Xenopus tropicalis: one gene and its partners. The protein of the gene in region 2 purifies or fractionates together with the protein of the main gene of each other region. This does not show direct contact. Links are inferred from orthologs where the notes say so. Each region holds a gene or a part of one and is shown on either strand. Other genes may lie near its edges.

Region 1 (8,214 bases), on a different chromosome or scaffold from region 2:
CAAAAAACAAATCACATTTTTAAAAATGGTTTCCTTGTACTCCGTAATAATGTTGCTTGATCCCAACTAAAATATAATCTAGCCTTAGTGGTGGCAAATCAATACCATTGTGTTTATTTAACGTTTAAATGATTTATTGGTAGACTTAAGGTTTGGTGAACCCAATTACAGAAAACCTTGGAAAATTCCAGGTCCCAAGCATTCTGGAGAACCGGTCCCATGACTGTATAGTGTTGTTTATACATAGGAAACTGGCTAAAGCATTGTGTACAGTGAGGGTTTTAGTGGGCTCCCATAGGGTTCTGTAAAAACTATTTTTTTAATTTGTTCATTAATTACTTATGAGGGGGCACAAAACTTTGTAGGTCAATTAATTCCATACAGGATGTGACCTCTTTTTCAGCAGGATCTCTGCAAACTGGGTGGCTAAGTGGCAGATGAGATTCAGTGTTTGCACCTGGGATATAAAATATACAAGCAACTTATACATTCAATGGGACTGTGTTAGACAAATCCATAATGGTGAAGGGCCTAAAGGGATTGTAGAAACTTGGCTGCAGCAAGCAATGCCAGTCAGCAGCTGCAAGGGCAAACAAGGTTTTGAGTTTTATTAAAAGGGCATACATTCATGGGAGGAGTGGATAATTTTTCTTTACAAACAGTTCCTATCTAGAAGAAAATGCAGTGCTGTTTTGGTCTCAAGTGCTAAAGTAGAATATTATTGAATTAGAGAAAGTTAAAAGAAGGACAAATAAGCTGGTAAAGCACGTCTTTATTTGGGAGGCTGATCCCTAATTTCATTCTGTGTCGAAATGAATGATTTGTGGTAACATGAAATAACACACAAGGCAGAGCCCTGAGTTATTCAGGCCACTGTACGCAGAGGCTTGATGTTTTTGAAACAAAAACAAACTGTTTAAGTCCCCGTGCATGAAAAGATCCAGGTGGCTTCAGGATAAAGATTTAATTGAAATCCAAACAGCTATATTGAATTTTCTAGAAACATGGTATGAGAAGAACAGGGGAACTGAGACAGGGTCTCGACATATGCCAATGGAGATAGGGAATGACCAGGGTGGAACCAGAATGGGCAAGTGTAAAAGGCGTTGGGGTAGGGTTTCAGTGGACATGTATGGCAGGTGTTGGTTGTAAAATGTGTCAAGCTGATGAGTAGACATTGTTTCAGTAAATAATTACCAAGAAGGAGTTATTATAGAACAACTTTTAGGAAGCCACATACAGTGTGACCTTATGAACTAATGTACTTCCATACAATTACCAGTGCTACCACTAGCATGTAGGTTACCCAGGGGTGCTGCTGCCATGTGTGACAGCAGCCTGCAAGTTACCAGGGGCAGCAAAAAGCTACAACTGGTAATTTCAAGAGATGTAATTTCCAATTTTTTAATTGGAATTTTGGCTCTGCTAGTGCATAAGTACATAAGCAGCATTTGCTAATTTTTTCAACTGATCAAGCAGACGGCATACATAATGCAGAAATCTATTCAATAGGCGCATTCAGTGGGAAATGTCAAAACAAAGTTGTCACAGTTTTATAAAAAAAAAAAAAAAAGTTGCCAGCTATATCACACTGCACAGATAGTTTACTTAAATAATACTGTATTTTACTTAAATAACTTTTCAAACACAGGCAAAGCCAGAGTGGGTAAAAAAAAATCTTACAACCTTTTGTAACCTTTTGATGAGCTGGATGCAAAAGTCTTGAAAGACAAACAATTTACCCTAACCCTTTAACTTGAGTTTTTGAACAACAATACAAGTATAATCACTGGAAAAAAAAAGTAAAATAACTAAAATGTTTAAAATAGATAAACAAGTTTTATTGATAAGTAGTCCGTGGCCAAAATCGCTGCTCCGGGAGTGGATTCTTTGGAATTATTTGGGTTGGTGAAGAACAAACCTGGAAAGTGCTTTTCAAGCCCTTTTTGTCTGCTGCCTATGTTACCAAAAAAAACAACAAAACTTCTATTTAGTATTCACTGGCTTGAGTATTGTATAAATCTTTTGCACTCCATTTTTGCCCTAGTCATTCTCTAGATTTTTAATTTTTGGGGAGGTTTTTCGGCTATAAAAATGACTTCAAAGTAGTTTTCCCAACACATTACAAATCATGCTGTTTACAGTTTGAGAAATGTAGTTTACATTTATACATCGGCATATCATAAAACAAAGGTGAATATGTGTGTTATCTATTTAGTAAAGTAAAGTGCAGCGATAACTGTGTAGTTTTTAAATCTTTCAGCTGTAAGCCAAATTGAAGCATTTGCTTTATCAATGCTGACCTTGACTGCAACTTCTGACTGAAGTGGAGTTTGTCGTTGAAAAAGTGACCACACCATGCCTGTCTAGTTGTCAGCTTTTTAAACAGTGTTGTCTGGTACTAATAGGTTCATGGGGAACTAGTAGGTTCACTTGGAGGATCAATAACCTATGTGGCCAGATAGGATTTGTTCACAAAAAATCTGGAATGTAGTTGGTCAGCGTTCCACTTTTAAATATTGGGCTGCAATTCTGGAGGTAGATGTGATCAACTTGCAATGCAAAAAACTTTAAAATAAACAAACTTTTTTTCAGATTCAGTTAATGGAAACCAGAGGAAATCTAACTCCTCCTTCAGCAGTGATCTGAATGGTCTTCTTGTTACTGATCAAGTTGCAGCTGTGGGTACCTCCTTGTCTGATACAAACCTCTGCAGTGCTGCAGTGTTGAGTTCAGAAAGACAGATCATGTGAGTGTATCTTTCTCCCAGGTTTACCAAACTCTCATTCTGTACAGCCCTTTTATGTCCTGTCAAATACTGTTACCTGAATGCCAACTTCTCTTGTGTATATGTGTTTAGATAACAGAGGACTCGCAGTTGGTGAAAAAACAAAATGTTCTTTATTGTGCAAAAATCGACATTTCGGTCACAATTTAGGACCTTTCTCAAGATGCGTTATGGTGTCCAAATCCCCATTAAATACCCTGTGATTGAATTTGGGCCAAATCACTGTGATGTCACCCATCCCCCACAGCAGAAATAGTAACGATTAAGCAAAATAGGACTAATATGAAAGGATTCAACAAAAAGGAAACTGTATCAGAAAAAAAATGCAAACCAGTGAACATAAGTATAAGTGGCTGTTTGAAACATATTTTCAAAAAGGAGGAAATGTAGCGATTAGGATGTGTTACATAAAATAGAAGCTTGTGATGGGGTAACCGATACAATCTAGCAAGTATAGGACCATAGCTGTACAGGACTAGAAAGAATTACTTACAAAAGCCATATCCAAATGGCGCACAAGGAGCAGGAGCGAGTCGCGTTGCCATGGCAAAAAGGCACAAGTGTCAGCAGGTAATAGAGACAAGAGGAGCTTGTCCTTAATGGCCATATGAAAAGGCCACGTGTGGCTGGGGGCACATAGAACATGTATATCAATTGGCCCAGTTAGGCTAACGTTTCGGTCCACATTAGGACCTTTATCAAGGATAACAAATAATGACTTTAAGATCAAACGACCTGTTAATTCATGTCAATAGGTCTGTCCACTTGGGGGCACAACTTTTGTGTATTTTCGTTAATTTGCACGACTTTTTCGTACTTTGCAATAATTGGTGCGACAAAATCATATTTGTCGCAGCGAGTACGAAAGTTTCGGAATTCATTCAAGCTTTGGTATCGTGACTTTCCTTGGGCCAGGTTAGAGCTGCAGAGTGCCATTGAGTCCTATGGGAGGCTTCCAAAATCATGCACAAAAGGATCAAAGTCAGACGTTTGTGATTGTTCGGATATGAATATTTCATAACTTTCGGATTGTACCACAATATTTTCGTACAAGCACGGTGCGACTTTTCGCTAAATTAACGCACATGAGAAATTTTCATATTTAATGGGAATTTTCACAAATCGTACTCTTAATTCGAACTTTAATGAATCAGCCCCTTGGTGTCGCTCACTTAATCACCTGAAAAAGTGACTGTGCGTTCTATCATGTTGCCATACCAAACACATCCTAGTAACTGTGCATTTTACCATTCTAAGATACCCAAATTTATATATAATATTAAAACTTTCAATATTAAATGCTGTTAAAAACACATTGCTATATGTTCCAGTGATCAAGTGTAAGATTTAACAATATATACAATAATAGTAGCACGTGATACTCCTTAAACAGCATTATAAGAATTATAAAAAGTATATAGTGTATTTCAATTACAAAAAGTTCCAAAAATACAAAAAAGTCCAATGACCTTTGCATTGGCCATGATTTAAGACCGTCCATCCTGAAAAATATATATAAAAAAAAAACAAAAAAAAAAACAACTTTTATATCTAACCATTGTTTTAAAAATTAAAAACCACACATATATTAGGATGTTAGGATATCACAGAACTCATGTCTGAAAGCAAGCCATACTAAATTGTCCATTCAAGCCCCTTGATGTTGCACGGTTTAACTTGTGTATCCAATATGTCTCTAATTAATTTAAGGAGCTCCTTTGCTAAATCCTCACCTCTTGGGCATCTGCCTATTGCTTCGCTACCGGTTATTTTGCTATATCCTTCTCCTCAATTTTTTTTTCTGCCTTTTAGGATCTAATGCTGCCCTTATGGGATGCCCTGTGCATCCTTTCTTTGAGTTATTTTACTGTCTTTCCACAATATAATAGCCCATATGGGCTTTTAATTATGTAGACAACCTTTGTGGAAGTACAGGTCAATCTCTGCTTGATCATTTTTTACCAGGATGTTCAAAATACACTCCTTGTATGAGGCTGCTGCACATAACCCATCCCTTACATCTATAGGCTCCAGGCCGTGGGCTCAAAAAAATGTCTAGCATGTTGTATAGTGTATCAGAGTGGCTTAATTACTCTTTTAAAGGAGGACTATACCCCCAGGCGATAAAAGCCCCCTTAATTATCACTGCCTTGACCCCCCCCCCACACATCTCCCTTATCGCATAAAACGGCTCTGCTTGCGCTTGTGCAGTTGGTGGAAGGAGGAAAACTGCTTAAACTGTGCATGAGCAAGCAGGGTCCGTGTTGGTGGTGAGACCTGTGGTGCAACTGAAGTGTCTTCAGTTGCTAAGAAGATGTCTGTCGGGTACGCTGCTGTGCTACTTTGCTGTTTTAGCTAGGGGTTAGTGATAGGGACGGTTGTTAAAGGTGAAGGAATGGCTAATAAAGAGTTAATCTCAAGCTGCAGGCATACCTTCAATTCTCTCAATAGTGCCCTTAAGTCTCCTCATATTTCACCTGTGCAAATGATCAGAAGCCAAACAGGAAGAAAAAAACTCTGAGCTGTGTAAATAAAGTTCTCATAATGCCTTGCTCCTGCACAGAGACCCAGACCAGTGTACATGCTTAGTTTGTAAGACTATGAGGAAGCTTCCTGCTGATTGGCTCAGATATACATTCCTAAGGGGGGAGTGAGTTCTTGGTATTCTTGAGGGAGTAGGGAGCAGGAGAGGGGAGAGAGCTGTGTGTCTCTGGCAGAGGAAAACAGACACCACAAATCTTTTGACAGAGAAGTCAGTGCAGCGTTTCTGTGAGTGCTTATGGTTGTATTTACATAGAGCTTTCTGATAAATCTTACTTAGTTTTTACCTTTCCTTCTCCTTTAAGCTTAGAAACTATGCAATAAGGGAGAGGTGATAGGGGTTAATGGGGGCTTTTATCACCTGGGGGTATAGTTCTACTTTAAGTTCCGTGCCCGTTTAAAACTGAACTTAGGCTTTTTTGGAAACAAAGCTTGTAAACTATTCTTATATTATGAAACACAACACTCAACAGGCTTAGTACAGAGAAACTTGTATAATTGGCAAGTTGTAAAGAAAAAAATTGCAATATTTAATTCACATCAATGTGATCTTTCTTCCTGAGTGCAAATAAAGTATAATGCCCAGTGGTCATATTACAGTACAGTACATACCTTCATTAGGGTAATTTACAAATAACTGAGTTGGCCCTGTGGCTCATAGCATTGTTTCATATAAGCCACTCTGCAAAACAATATTAAAAACAACTCCTCAAACTTAGAAACCGTTCATCTTTTTGCCTCTTTTTATTCTGTTATATCACCAGAATGAGATGCAAATTGTTGTATACCACATTATTCACCGTATTGACAGTTTTATACCTTTATATAAGTCCTATATGTTTTCAGTCAAAAATGTTATTGTTTTGTTTTTTGTCCCAGCCTTAATCACTGTTATTATTGTCTTAGTTGCCTATCTGGAGATGACAGCTCTTCTTGCATTGAAATCACTGCTAAAGATGTAGAAATCGTTGCCAGCCATGACTCTAATATATGCAGCAAAGCAAGAGGCAGCAACAAGGTAAATATGTTTTTAGTACTTCAGTTACCTTGTCAGTGTTTCATGGGTAGCATTTTGTACAGTGGTTGGTGAATATTGTGCTAGGAATTGTTTCAGTGAGAATTTAGTTTGTAAATAAAGATGGATAATCTAGATTGTTACTAGCTATTCCAGCAGACTGTATTACATGTAACCTTTTATAGAAAGCCTTTCTTAAAGGTAGCGACCGGTTAAAGGGGGTCTAAGCCCAAAAAATGAATTGATGCAAAGTTACTCTGAGCACTTTTCTGAGCGCTTTTGCAGTATATTTATCCCATATCTGACATTGTATATATCTCATATCTGGCATGTATTTTGTATGTTTAGCCTAATCTTAGGCAGTTCTGTTAACTTGTTAAAAGTAGGGATGCACCAAATCCAGGATTCGGTTCAGGATTTGGCCAAGATTCACTCCTTTTCATGCTCCTGGCTGACCCGAAATCCATAAAATCACTTGACTTGTCACATAAACACGTAAGTAGTAAATTTGTCACAGCGCACAGAGCTCTTTAACCTTTACATATCCTTATTTACCTGTGCAAATTTGGTTTGCTATTCAGCCAAATCTTTTATAAAGCGTTCGGCCAAATCCAAAAATAGTGGATTTGGTGCATCCCTAATTAAAAGTTCTATGCCAGATATAGCTCATACAGCATGTTGGAGGGCCACATTCAATTTAAATGTCATATAGTAAAGTTCATGGCGCTTCAGAGCAGACCGGAGGCCATAAAAATCCTGTGGAGGGCCACATCAGACCTGTGGGCCTCCAGTTGGACAACCCTGATTTATATATAGGCACAAGTACCTGGGTGTAAGTGGAAAATTAAAGGTATGAATTAAAAAGCTCCATACTCATATTTCTTTTTGTTGCAAAAACCATGAATTACATCTGTATCTATCTAGACATCTAAATATTATGTACCCTTGCATAAATGTATTTACCTGGGTGCCTGCGCTTTAAACATTTAAATACACACAGGAACCTTTCAAGAAAACCAGTGCTGTGATACAAACAACTGGTTAAAAGGGCAGCTTTTGCCAGGCAACCCCCCTGTACAACCCCCATCATATGACTTCATCAAAGACCCTGTATATTCACTTAGGGGAGGCACATCATATGACAGATTTTATAACATTTCTTTAATTTCTTACATTTCTCTTAACATTTTGTTTCACTTAAAAAAAAAAAAACGAATTTATGAAAACAAACTGCTTTATACATCATTTTTCATAGATTACACATTTATGTCAGTCCCCGCCCCAGTAGAACTTTTAGTCTAAAGTCCCTATCACTTTCACACAAATTAGGGTTACTATCGGGAGCCAATTGACCTGCCTATGTGTTTTTTAGGGTGTGGGAGTAAGTACCTGGGGGAAACCCACAAAGAATTTGGGAGAGCACGCAAATTCCTTCCAGATAGCACCCAACCCAAAGAACTCATGATTCCAGTGCACCACTGTGCTGCCTTTTTATATATGCATTTTTTTTTTTTAACTTTAATCTGAGGTTTCTGGTAATGTCTAGAAAATTATTCTTTTTTTTTTTTTTAAGCAAATAGAGTTTTTATTAACTGCTTCATTTTTTGTCTTTGAAGGTCAAAATACAGCCGGTAGCTAAATATGATTGGGAACAGAAGTACTACTGTGGCAATCTGATAGCAGTATCAAACGACTACATTGCATATGCTACTAGAGGTATCATATCAATTTCAATTCAAATTTTAAATTGACTCGAGAAATGTAAACTCAATTGATATAGGTATAAATGGGTTAGTGTGTAAAGTAGATATGGTCAGGTAAATGGACATGTTCTTGAAGCACTAGAAAAATGAAATCTGGTTACTCCGAA
Region 2 (8,214 bases):
GTGCAAGGGGGGGGGGGAATTATACAATTAATTGTTCATGTTTTGGTATGTGGGATTAAGGAGAGAAGAGGGTTCAGCCCACATGGGCCTATAAATATGCTGCTATATATATATATATACATATACACCCAGGACCCAGAAAGTAGTTTACTGTTTTATTATTACAGAGAAAAGGGAATCATTTAACCATGAAATAAACCCAATAGGGCTGTTCTGCCCCCAATAAGGGGTAATTATATCTTAGTTGGGATCAAGTACAGGTACTGTTTTATTATTACAGAGAAAAGGGAATCATTTAACCATTAAATAAACCCAATAGGGCTGTTCTGCCCCCAATAAGGGGTAATTATATCTTAGTTGGGATCAAGTACAGGTACTGTTTTATTATTACAGAGAAAAGGGAATCATTTAACCATTAAATAACCCCAATAGGGCTGTTCTGCCCCAATAAGGGGTAATTATATCTTAGTTGGGATCAAGTACAGGTACTGTTTTATTATTACAGAGAAAAGGGAATCATTTAACCATGAAATAAACCCAATAGGGCTGTTCTGCCCCCAATAAGGGGTAATTATATCTTAGTTGGGATCAAGTACAGGTACTGTTTTATTATTACAGAGAAAAGGGAATCATTTAACCATTAAATAAACCCAATAGGGCTGTTCTGCCCCCAATAAGGGGTAATTATATCTTAGTTGGGATCAAGTACAGGTACTGTTTTATTATTACAGAGAAAAGGGAATCATTTAACCATGAAATAAACCCAATAGGGCTGTTCTGCCCCCAATAAGGGGTAATTATATCTTAGTTGGGATCAAGTACAGGTACTGTTTTATTATTACAGAGAAAAGGGAATCATTTAACCATTATATAAACCTTTTTTGATTGCGAGTGCGGTGGTACCGATTCTTTCTATTTACTAAATTTTATCAGCACCCAGGCGGTTAATTTTGTTTTGAGTGCTCCTCTTGGGTCTATATTTTCCAGACAGTGGAATGGAAGATTTCAAATTCTTTTGAGATCTTTTGAAATCCCTTACCAGACTTATAAGCTGCTACAATCTTCTTTGTAAGGCTCATGCCACACCAGGCGTAGGGCTGATTTTTTCGGCAAGCGGAAAAACGCTTGCCGAAAATTCAGCCCTACGCCTGCTACTTGTGCCTGCACCCGAATGAATGGAATACGCTCGGGTGCAGGCACATGTAGCCGATATACGCAAGAAAACGCGAGACTTTGCATTCTCGCGCGTTTTCGTGCGTATATCGGCTACATGTGCCTGCACCCGAGCGTATTCCATTCATTCGGGTGCAGGCACAAGTAGCAGGCGTAGGGCTGATTTTTCGGCAAGCGTTTTTCCGCTTGCCGAAAAAATCAGCCCTACGCCTGGTGTGGCATCAGCCTAAGGGCCTCAGGCAGTTCTAATCATGTGCACCTGATGTGATACACCTGTGTGTGATTTGAGCCATTTTAGGCGGGACTAAATGCTGGGGTGTCCTGATTTATTCCTCACCAGAAATTGCATTATATATATGAGAGAACTGTGGGGTTTTTTTTTTTTTACTTTTACATTATATATACATATACATACATACATACATATATATATATAAATATATATATATATAAACCAATTCAAAGTGTCGGCACTCATAGGATTTCCGCAACAAAAGCACAGCAAATAAAGTTTCTTATTAATGCAGGTGATGTGGTTTATTAATCCGACGTTTCAGTCCTTTACTTGGACTTTCATCAGGGAGATGAAAGTCCAAGTAAAGGACTGAAACGTCGGATTAATAAACCACATCACCTGCATTAATAAGAAACTTTATTTGCTGTGCTTTTGTTGCGGAAATCCTATGAGTGCCGACACTTTGAATTGGTTTGTAGATTTTTTTCAGCTCTGGCACCTAGGTTTTTATTATACTTAATGGTGTGCTCCCACTCTGGATTGTATATATATATATATATATATATATATATATATAAATATATATATATATATACACACACACTTTCTCTGTAGCCCTATGCTCAGATCTCACCTGGATAAGGTGCAGCAGGGTCTCCTGGAGCTGACTCCTAGTGAGGACGCCGTTCCAGCTATTCATGGTGTTCGTGGGGTTCTCTGGGAATGCAGCGGGGAAGAGCAGATTGGAGGGCTCTTTGGTACAAAGGGAGAGGTTGGCTGTTTCATTTGTCCTGGTCTGCAGGCTTGGCTGGGCAAATACCATGGGGGACATCAGCAGTGCTGGTGACACAGAGGCTGGGATATGCTGAGGAGAGGAGGCTTGCTGTGGATAGAAAGGGCAGCATATTACAGGCTTATTGCTGGCAGACACATTACCAAGAGGTGGGTTGCTGCCATAGTGTTTCCCTTAGACAGTACAGTATGGGGGTACAGCTTATTGTGTGCCCAGAACATTCCTTCTCTGTATATTTGTATTTATACATATGGGAGGGAGGTGCCATAATGTTTCCCTTAGACCAGTGATCCCCAACCAGTGTCTCAGGGGCAACATGTTGCTCCCCAACCCCTTGGATGTTGCTCTCAGTGCCCCCAAACCAGGGAGTTATTTTTGAATTCCTGACTTGGGGGCAAGTTTTGGTTGAATAAAAACAAGATTTCCTACCAAATAAAGCCCCCTGTAAGCTGATAGGGTGCATAGAGGCCCCTAATAGCCAATCACAGCCCTTATTTGGCTCCTCCATGAACTTTTATGGTGCTTGTGTTGCTCCCCAAGTCTTTTTACATTTGACTGTGGCTCACGAGTAAGAAAGGTTGGGGATCCCTGCCTTAGACAGTACAGTATGGGGGTACAGCTTATTGTGTGCCCAGAACATTCCTTCTCTGTATATTTGTATTTATACATATGGGTAGGAGGTGCCATAGTGTTTCCCTTAGACAGTACAGTATGGGGGTACAGCTTATTGTGTGCCCAGAACATTCCTTCTCTGTATATTTGTATTTATACATATGGGTAGGGGGTGCCATAGTGTTTCCCTTAGACAGTACAGTATGGGGGTACAGCTTATTGTGTGCCCAGAACATTCCTTCTCTGTATATTTGTATTTATACATATGGGTAGGGGGTGCCATAGTGTTTCCCTTAGACAGTACAGTATGGGGGTACAGCTTATTGTGTGCCCAGAACATTCCTTCTCTGTATATTTGTATTTATACATATGGGTAGGGGGTGCCATAGTGTTTCCCTTAGACAGTACAGTATGGGGGTACAGCTTATTGTGTGCCCAGAACATTCCTTCTCTGTATATTTGTATTTATACATATGGGTAGGGGGTGCCATAGTGTTTCCCTTAGACAGTACAGTATGGGGGTACAGCTTATTGTGTGCCCAGAACATTCCTTCTCTGTATATTTGTATTTATACATATGGGTAGGGGGTGCCATAGTGTTTCCCTTAGACAGTACAGTATGGGGGTACAGCTTATTGTGTGCCCAGAACATTCCTTCTCTGTATATTTGTATTTATACATATGGGTAGGAGGTGCCATAGTGTTTCCCTTAGACAGTACAGTATGGGGGTACAGCTTATTGTGTGCCCAGAACATTCCTTCTCTGTATCCTTGCATTTATACATATGGGAAATAGCTGCAATATTGTTTTTTAGAACAATATAATATAGTTTATAGTATAGAGAACATTTCTTCTCTGTATATATATATATATATATATATATATATATATATATATATATATATATATATATATATACATATTTGGAGGGAAGCTGCTATATTGCTTCCCTTGTTCCAGGGATTCCTATCCTATGAGTTTCCCATGGTGCAAAGCGTGGGTTTCCATGATGCCATTTAGAATGGTAGATCACATTTACATAAATGACAAAATGACAGACTGCAGAACCACATATGGGCACTTCCCTGCCAGCTGAGAATATGTGCCAAGAGTCTTGTCAGAAAACGAAAATGCATGTAACAATATGACATTAAATTCAGTTGCATGCATGTATATATCTAGATACAGGTATGGGATCCCTTATCCGGAAACCCGTTATCCAGAAAGTTCTAAAATTACAGAAAGGCCGTCTCCCATAGACTTCATTATAAGCAAATAATTCTAATTTCTGAAAATTATTTACATTTTCTCTGTAATAATAAAACAGTACCTGTACTTGATCCCAACTAAGATATAATTACCCCTTATTGGGGGCAGAACAGCCCTATTGGGTTTATTTCATGGTTAAATGATTCCCTTTTCTCTGTAATAATAAAACAGTACCTGTACTTGATCCCAACTAAGATATAATTACCCCTTATTGGGGGCAGAACAGCCCTATTGGGTTTATTTCATGGTTAAATGATTCCCTTTTCTCTGTAATAATAAAACAGTACCTGTACTTGATCCCAACTAAGATATAATTACCCCTTATTGGGGGCAGAACAGCCCTATTGGGTTTATTTAATGGTTAAATGATTCCCTTTTCTCTGTAATAATAAAACAGTACCTGTACTTGATCCCAACTAAGATATAATTACCCCTTATTGGGGGCAGAACAGCCCTATTGGGTTTATTTCATGGTTAAATGATTCCCTTTTCTCTGTAATAATAAAACAGTACCTGTACTTGATCCCAACTAAGACATAATTACCCCTTATTGGGGGCAGAACAATCCTATTAGGTTTATTCAATATTAAATGATTCTTAGCAGGCGTAAGGTATGGAAATCCAAAATACGGAAAGATCCCTTAACCGGAAAACCCCAGCATTCTGGTCCCATACCTATATATTACCACTTTGTTTTAATACTCTTGTTACTCGGATACCTGAAGGAGCAGATTCTGTTTCTCAGCCCGAGGAATATTTTCCACCCAGGATGTTTTCGGCACGCTCTGGGAGACCACCGGGAATTTAGCCGCTAGGGCCGGCCTGGGATTGCTTTGCATTTGCTGCTCCTGGCGCACCAGATTTAGCTTCTTGAGCAGCTCCTGTGGGGAGATGGTGCCAGAGGCCATGACAGGTTGAGAAGACAAAGGCAATGGAGGCATTGGGGCTGAAGTCCTTTGGTTCGGCAGAGAGCAGTCGTGGTAATTAAGTGAGTGTGCAGCGCACGAGGACACCATGTCGGCGTTGGGTCCCCCCACTGGGGCTGTGTGAAGGGTTTGCAAGAGAGTTTTCCCGCTCTCATAGTCCTGATTGGAAAAGGGAGCCTGGTGCGTCACCGGGATGAACAGGCCAGGGAGGATGTCCCCATCGGGGGGATAGCTGCCATTATGGCACGGCCTGTTCTCAGGAACCTCGGAGACGGGTTGCAGCCCACTTCCCGCCACCATGAGTTTCTGGATGGCAGGGCAAAGCTGCTTCTCGACATTCTCCGTCGCCTTCCCAGGTTCTTCATACGAGAGGGAACGGACCACCGAGTGGCGCACAGCGCCGGGTTCGGAATGAAGCTTCATCTGCTCTTGTGCTTTGTCTGGCTTCCCGAACAGAGCTGTAAGAGATAAATGCTGCTTTTCTGACTCCACAGCCTAAGGAAGGATAAAAAAAAAAACATAGTCACAGTTTAACACTATGGTGACTGTAAGTTTCACTCGTTTTCGGTGCTCTGGCTACCCAATTGCCAAGCTGGAGCATACAGTACTGCTCACCAATCATGGTCGCTCTGGGCGTGACCACTAGGGGGTGCCTAACAACCTGGCTGATGGTAGGTTTTCTGCCCTCATACATGTAATGGAAAGTAATAACTGGTGCAAAAGTTGCTACAGTTCAAGTAAACCAAAACAGCCAATCAACAGGTTATATTTATCAGTCTGTTGTTTACAAACATCTGATTGGTTGCTGTGGCTTACAGACCATTATTACACCATCACATTTGATAAACTATTACTAAGCTTTAATGAAGTATTCATAAAGCCCCAATAAATGGGTACTGGGTCAGGCCATGTTTCTATATAGGAACCTTGGTGTAGGGGTTCTGTTTTCACGCAGTTTACAGAGATTACTCCTTGGCCTTAAGGTGCCCATACCCCTTCAGATCTGCTCGCTTGGGGATGTTGCCAAGCAAGCGGATCTTCTCCCGATATCCCCCACCTACGGGTGGGCGGTATCGGGAGAATCCGGGCCAAACGATCAAATTATAACGGCGGGTATAGGCAAAGTCGGTCCGGGGGCTGCATCAACGAGCCGATGCGGTCCCCGATCCGACTAGATTTTTTAACCTGCCTGATCGATATCTGCCCGATTTCAGGTCAGAAATTGGTCGGGCAGGCCAGTCGTTAGTGCCCCTACAGGGGCCGATTAGCTGCCGAGTCTGTCTAAGGGACCCATATCGGCAGCTACTATCGGCCCGTGTATGGGGACCTTTAGGGTAGGCCACTGCTCCCTTCTAGGTGGGTCACAGTTAGGAAAGCACAACCCTAAGCCCCTACTGCTCTCACCTCTAACGCTCTCACCTTTCCCGGCTGGGACTCACTGGGTTTAACAGCAATGGGCTTGATGAGGTTGGGGTTGGTGTAGATGGCCGATGAGCTGGTGATCATCTTGGGCTCGGAGCACGACTTGCACTGTGCAAAGAAACACAACAATCAGACACTTCCATCTCTCACAAGTGGGTACGGAAACATTTGCACTTGCTTTCTGAAACCAACAGTTTCCTGACTCGTAGTAGGCTTAGTTTTCCTTTAAACAGGCAACCATATTTTTTTAGTAATTTGGCCACTGCCACTGTTCCAGCATATACAAAAAGTCACTGTATTGTCAACTCAATAATATGCCAGTGGAAGACCTACTAAGAGAGAGCTAGATATAGAGAGATAGATAGATAGATAGATAGATAGATAGATAGATAGATGGATGATAGATTGATAGATAGATAGATTTTATAGATAGATGACAGAGATAGATGATAGATAGATAGATAGAGAGATTAAATAGATAGATGATAGAGATAGATAGACAGACAGACAGATAGATAGATGATAGACAGAACTCAATAATATGCCAGTGGAAGACATACTAAGAGAGAGCTAGATATAGAGAGATAGATGATAGATAGATAGATAGATAGACAGATAGACAGACAGATAGACAGACAGATAGACAGACAGACAGACAGACAGACAGACAGACAGACAGACAGACAGACAGACAGATAGACAGACAGATAGACAGACAGATAGACAGACAGATAGACAGACAGATAGCCAGACAGATAGACAGACAGATAGACAGATAGATAGACAGATAGGCAGATTATAGACAGATAGCTAGATAGATAGACAGATTAAATAGATAGATGATAGATAGATAGATAGATAGATAGATAGATAGATAGATAGATAGATAGATAGATAGATAGACAGATAGATAGATAGATGGACAGACAGACAGATTAAATAGATAGATGATAGAGATAGATGATAGATAGATGATAGATAGATAGATTAAATAGATAGATGATAGATAGATAGATAGATAGGCAGACAGATAGATAGATGATAGACAGAACTCAATAATATGCCAGTGGAAGACCTACTAAGAGAGAGCTAGATATAGAGAGATAGATGATAGATAGATAGAGACAGATAGATAGATGATAGACAGATAGATAGATAGATGATAGACAGATAGATAGACAGATTAAATAGATAGATGATAGATAGATGATAGACAGATAGACAGCTAGATAGACAGCTAGATAGATAGACAGATTAAATAGATAGATGATAGATAGATAGACAGACAGATAGACAGACAGACAGATAGATAGATAGATGGACAGACATACAGATTAAATAGATAGATGATAGATAGATAGATAGATAGATAGATAGATGATAGATAGATGATAGATAGATAGATAGATAGATAGATAGGCAGACAGATAGATGATAGACAGAACTCAATAATATGCCAGTGGAAGACCTACTAAGAGAGAGCTAGATATAGAGAGATAGATGATAGATAGATAGACAGATAGATAGAGACAGATAGATAGATGATAGACAGATAGATAGATGATAGACAGATAGCTAGATAGATAGATTAAATAGATAGATGATAGACAGAACTCAATAATATGCCAGTGGAAGACCTACTAAGAGAGAGCTAGATATAGAGAGATAGATGATAGATAGATAGATAGATAGATAGATAGATAGATAGACAGACAGATAGATTATAGACAGATAGCTAGATAGACAGATTAAATAGATAGATGATAGACAGATTAAATAGATA
Region 3 (3,600 bases), about 120 Mb from region 2:
GGAAGTCAGTGGGATATATTTAGAATTCTGCATTAGAATTTGAGGCAGCTTAGCAACATCACGACACTCACTGCCAACCATGGAGAAGATAAAGTGGTTAAATCAAAAAGTATCACAACGATCAGTACTGGGACCCACATTGTTTTTCAGTTTCTATTATTGTTATGGCTATGTTTTCCTGAGCCAAAATATAGGGGGCAAGGGGGTGCTGAGGAACAAGAATTGAACAGAAAAAACCTGATAAGCGCTAGAATGCCAAGAAGATAATGTATCTGTGTTTGCTTTGGAGATCAGTGAGGTTATTAGAACCCAGCATGGAAAGGGGTTCAGCACAGAAAGATCTGACTATAAAAGGCAATTGCTCAGGAAATGGCAGTCAGCTCACTGGGATTTACCAATTTGGAATGGAAAAGGAATGTATTGATTACAAGTCTGCCAAATATACACAGGGCTAGAAAGCTGCAGCACAGGATAATTATAAAGCAGTTAGATTCTAGGTTAGGTTTTATAGATGTATTGGCCGTAGGCACTTCTTAGGCCTCATTATGAAAGTGCTGAAAAGAATGTGGCCAGTCCTTACTGCACACGTTATAGGAGTTAATTTTGGAATAATTCAAATCAGGAATCTGTCCGCGTTATGGAGATGTTATCTGTATGAGTGTAACCATATTAAACGAATCTAATGCAAGCATTCTGTTTGGCAGCTCTGGAAATGGATTATGTGTGTAAATGCTGCTAGTACTTCATGTTGTTATACAGTAGCAATAAACTAGAAAGAATTTCTCATTAAAATACTCCCTCATAAAGCCTCCAATGTGATGGCTTGTCCCCCACCTACTGGCGGCCACCCTTAAAGCTCCATAGTGCTCTACCTAGCCCAACGGGTCTGATCATTTTTTTTAAAAAAATAGTATGGGTGCCATTGTTTGGGCATAACATATACTACCTTCTGGAGCACTAAAACATTATCTTGCCCAGTCCTGCGCTTAAGGGCAAATGCCCATACCTGGTGCACTCTTACCTTCCAATTTGTGCCTGTATGTTACCCAACCACTTAGATTGTAAGCTTTACGGGGCAGGGACCTCCTTCCTACTGTGTCTCATTCCACATGGCACTTACTCCCTGTGTATTTATACTTATTTACTGTATTTTTTATAACACTTGTCCTCCCTGTGTGTAATTTGGTATATTGTAAGATTGTACAGTGCTGCGTACCCTTGTGGCGCTTATACATACATACATATAAACATTTTGGAAAGACATCCCGCCACCTTAGTCAAGATTCCTGATGTTACCATATTAAGGGATGGCAGCATTACATTTTGCCATAGAAGAGCGCCCCCTTATGGCATAAGTTTAGGTTGTGGTTTCCCAAGTGTCATTGTACTCCAGCCCCATAAAGTTGCCTTATGGCAAGCAAAACAAAGGTCCCTCTGTATCAATTCATATTTGTGTGTGATCTGTATGTTTTATGTATATGAAAAGCTGCAAAATATGTTGTTGGTTTGTAAATACGTGTTAATATTAGTCAATTAAAACTGGCTTATAGTGGGCTTTACTTGACCTTTAAATGTTCAATTTCACTATATAGGAAATGAATGGCCAGTGTTTATGGAGGAGTAGCACAAAGGCGCCTCTAGAGGCTCTGTATATATATATATATATATATATATATACACACACGTATGTATTAGGTACCGGATATCCATGTATACAGGTAATGAATGGACACGTTTGGTATCCAACCCGCCCCCTGCCCAGATCCCCTCAGGAAAAGGTGCTGTAGTTTGGATGGATGGAAACAAGAAAGACACCCATGACACTTTACCTGATGACTTTGCGTCCTGACTTCTGCAATTACTCACCTGAGTTCCAGGAGCTCCTCCCCCTGTCCCTCCTCCGGCCCAGCTTCTCTCCGCCTCCTGTGGGTAATAGCCAGTTCTCCACTCTGCCTCACCTTCCCCCCGCTGTCTTGCCAGCACATCCGCTCCTGCACCCCCATAGTATCCCCCACCTCCCTCCACAGGCCTGTGCGCGGCAGACATGGACCCTCCAATTCAGGGAGCTAGAGAGTAAGCGAGTGTCAACTGAGCCGACGCAGAGCGACCAGTGAGAGCCTGGCACCTCGCCTACAGCCAATCAATACGAAGCTAGACAACAAACAGCCAATGGAGCGCAAGTGCGCTGATTCAGAAACGCCTCTATCTCTAGCTAGCGGCCAATAAAAAGTGAGAGGGAACTGATTGTCATCGGGGTCAGGGTAACTGCGCACGAACAGCACGTCATGTAAAAGTCACTTCATCCAATGGGAAAGTGAAAGGCATCGAATGCGTGAATGCGACCAATCGTTGTTGAGCAAAGTCGGCGAAATAATTGGGTTCAGATTTCTAATTGGCCGGTAACCATTTTAACCACGCCCACACTAGTTCAACCACCAATAGGACGAAATTGGAAGCCCAGCAAAAAATGTCGGGGAGGCGCAGAAGTCATCAGCCGGGCGCTTGAATATGGCGTCACGTACATATTCACCGCCCATAAGACGAGCCTTCGTCCCGCCGGAAGTGCCATTTTTTTAATAGGATGGCGGTGCTTTTGGAGGCCAGTTTTGTGTGTTGTCCGGTTTGAGGTAGTGGCCCGTGGAGGGTCGGGAAAGAGGATGAATTATATGCCCGGGACCGCCAGCCTCATAGAGGATATAGACAGTCAGTATTTGATTATATATGTCCCTGACTCCCAACAAGTGAGCTGGTTAAACGCAAGTCTGCAGCCTAGGCGCCATAGAAGGCATGGGCGATACACTCGTAGCTTAACATGTACCTTCCACCCCTACCATTGTGCGGTGCTGGGAGTTGTAGTTTAATACCTACACACATACTCACTACACTTGTAACTATGGGCAGAGTGAAGCATGGCAACAGATTCGCCGTTTGGCTTATGTGAATTGCTAAAGTAGTTTCTATTGAGCCACTTTCATATCTATTATCTCGTCTGTCATTCAAACCTGGTCTGTTCCCTAGCAACTAGCCAAATGGGCAACTGCAGTAGCCTTAGAAACACACTTAGCAAAGGGGAACTACATTGAAAAACTTAGTATATTGGAAAGTTGCATAGAAATAGTTACATGTTTTAAGTTATTTGCAAATGTAATGGCAGATGTATTTGTTGATCCCCCTTCTGTTCCCTGGGTCTGACTTTTGAAATACTGTAGCGGAAGTCGGCGGAAAGTAGCTGTCTGCTACTTTGTTACAGTAGTCTGAATCAGCAGTACAGGAAGGGACACCTGTTACATCCTTTTAATGTCAAATACCCCTAATCTTCAAGAAGAAGGAAAGGTTTATTGCCAATTCTTTGCTCAATGATTATAATCACTAAGCTTAGACCCTGGCTTGCACTCCTCACTGAAAACCTTTTTGGCCTGGCGTCCCCTATAATCGTATCCCAAGCTGGGGTGATTTTCAGCAAATTGCTGGGCATAAGGGGTTACAGAAGTGTAAAAAAGCCTTTCCTTCTCCTTTAGAGTGAAGCCACACAGAGCTAGTAGCAGCTACTTGTCACAGCTACTATAATAGACAATGCCGATAATTTACTAATTGTCTGTG

What was found.
Region 1: the proteins of dcp1b (region 2) and edc4 purify together in Homo sapiens (affinity purification with mass spectrometry; 3 studies listed by BioGRID and IntAct, with this or other methods). This does not show direct contact. The link is inferred for Xenopus tropicalis from reciprocal best matches to the Homo sapiens genes DCP1B and EDC4.
Region 3: the proteins of dcp1b (region 2) and bag4 purify together in Homo sapiens (affinity purification with mass spectrometry; 3 studies listed by BioGRID and IntAct, counting the BioPlex papers as one, with this or other methods). This does not show direct contact. The link is inferred for Xenopus tropicalis from reciprocal best matches to the Homo sapiens genes DCP1B and BAG4.

Annotation. Positions count from the first base shown.
Region 1 is NC_030680.2:41,314,563-41,322,776, forward strand, and holds part of edc4 (enhancer of mRNA-decapping protein 4), read left to right. Parts: intron 1-2,595; coding exon 2,596-2,749; intron 2,750-6,235; coding exon 6,236-6,347; intron 6,348-7,960; coding exon 7,961-8,060; intron 8,061-8,214. UniProt on the Homo sapiens protein: In the process of mRNA degradation, seems to play a role in mRNA decapping. Component of a complex containing DCP2 and DCP1A which functions in decapping of ARE-containing mRNAs. Promotes complex formation between DCP1A and DCP2.
Region 2 is NC_030679.2:9,163,826-9,172,039, reverse strand, and holds part of dcp1b (mRNA-decapping enzyme 1B), read right to left. Parts: intron 6,540-8,214; coding exon 6,414-6,539; intron 5,505-6,413; coding exon 4,803-5,504; intron 2,292-4,802; coding exon 2,043-2,291; intron 1-2,042. UniProt on the Homo sapiens protein: May play a role in the degradation of mRNAs, both in normal mRNA turnover and in nonsense-mediated mRNA decay. May remove the 7-methyl guanine cap structure from mRNA molecules, yielding a 5'-phosphorylated mRNA fragment and 7m-GDP.
Region 3 is NC_030679.2:132,219,486-132,223,085, reverse strand, and holds the start of bag4 (BAG family molecular chaperone regulator 4), read right to left. Parts: upstream 2,353-3,600; 5' UTR 2,047-2,352; coding exon 1,867-2,046; intron 1-1,866. Other genes in the region: U6 snRNA-associated Sm-like protein LSm1, read left to right, coding at 2,658-2,703. UniProt on the Homo sapiens protein: Inhibits the chaperone activity of HSP70/HSC70 by promoting substrate release. Prevents constitutive TNFRSF1A signaling. Negative regulator of PRKN translocation to damaged mitochondria.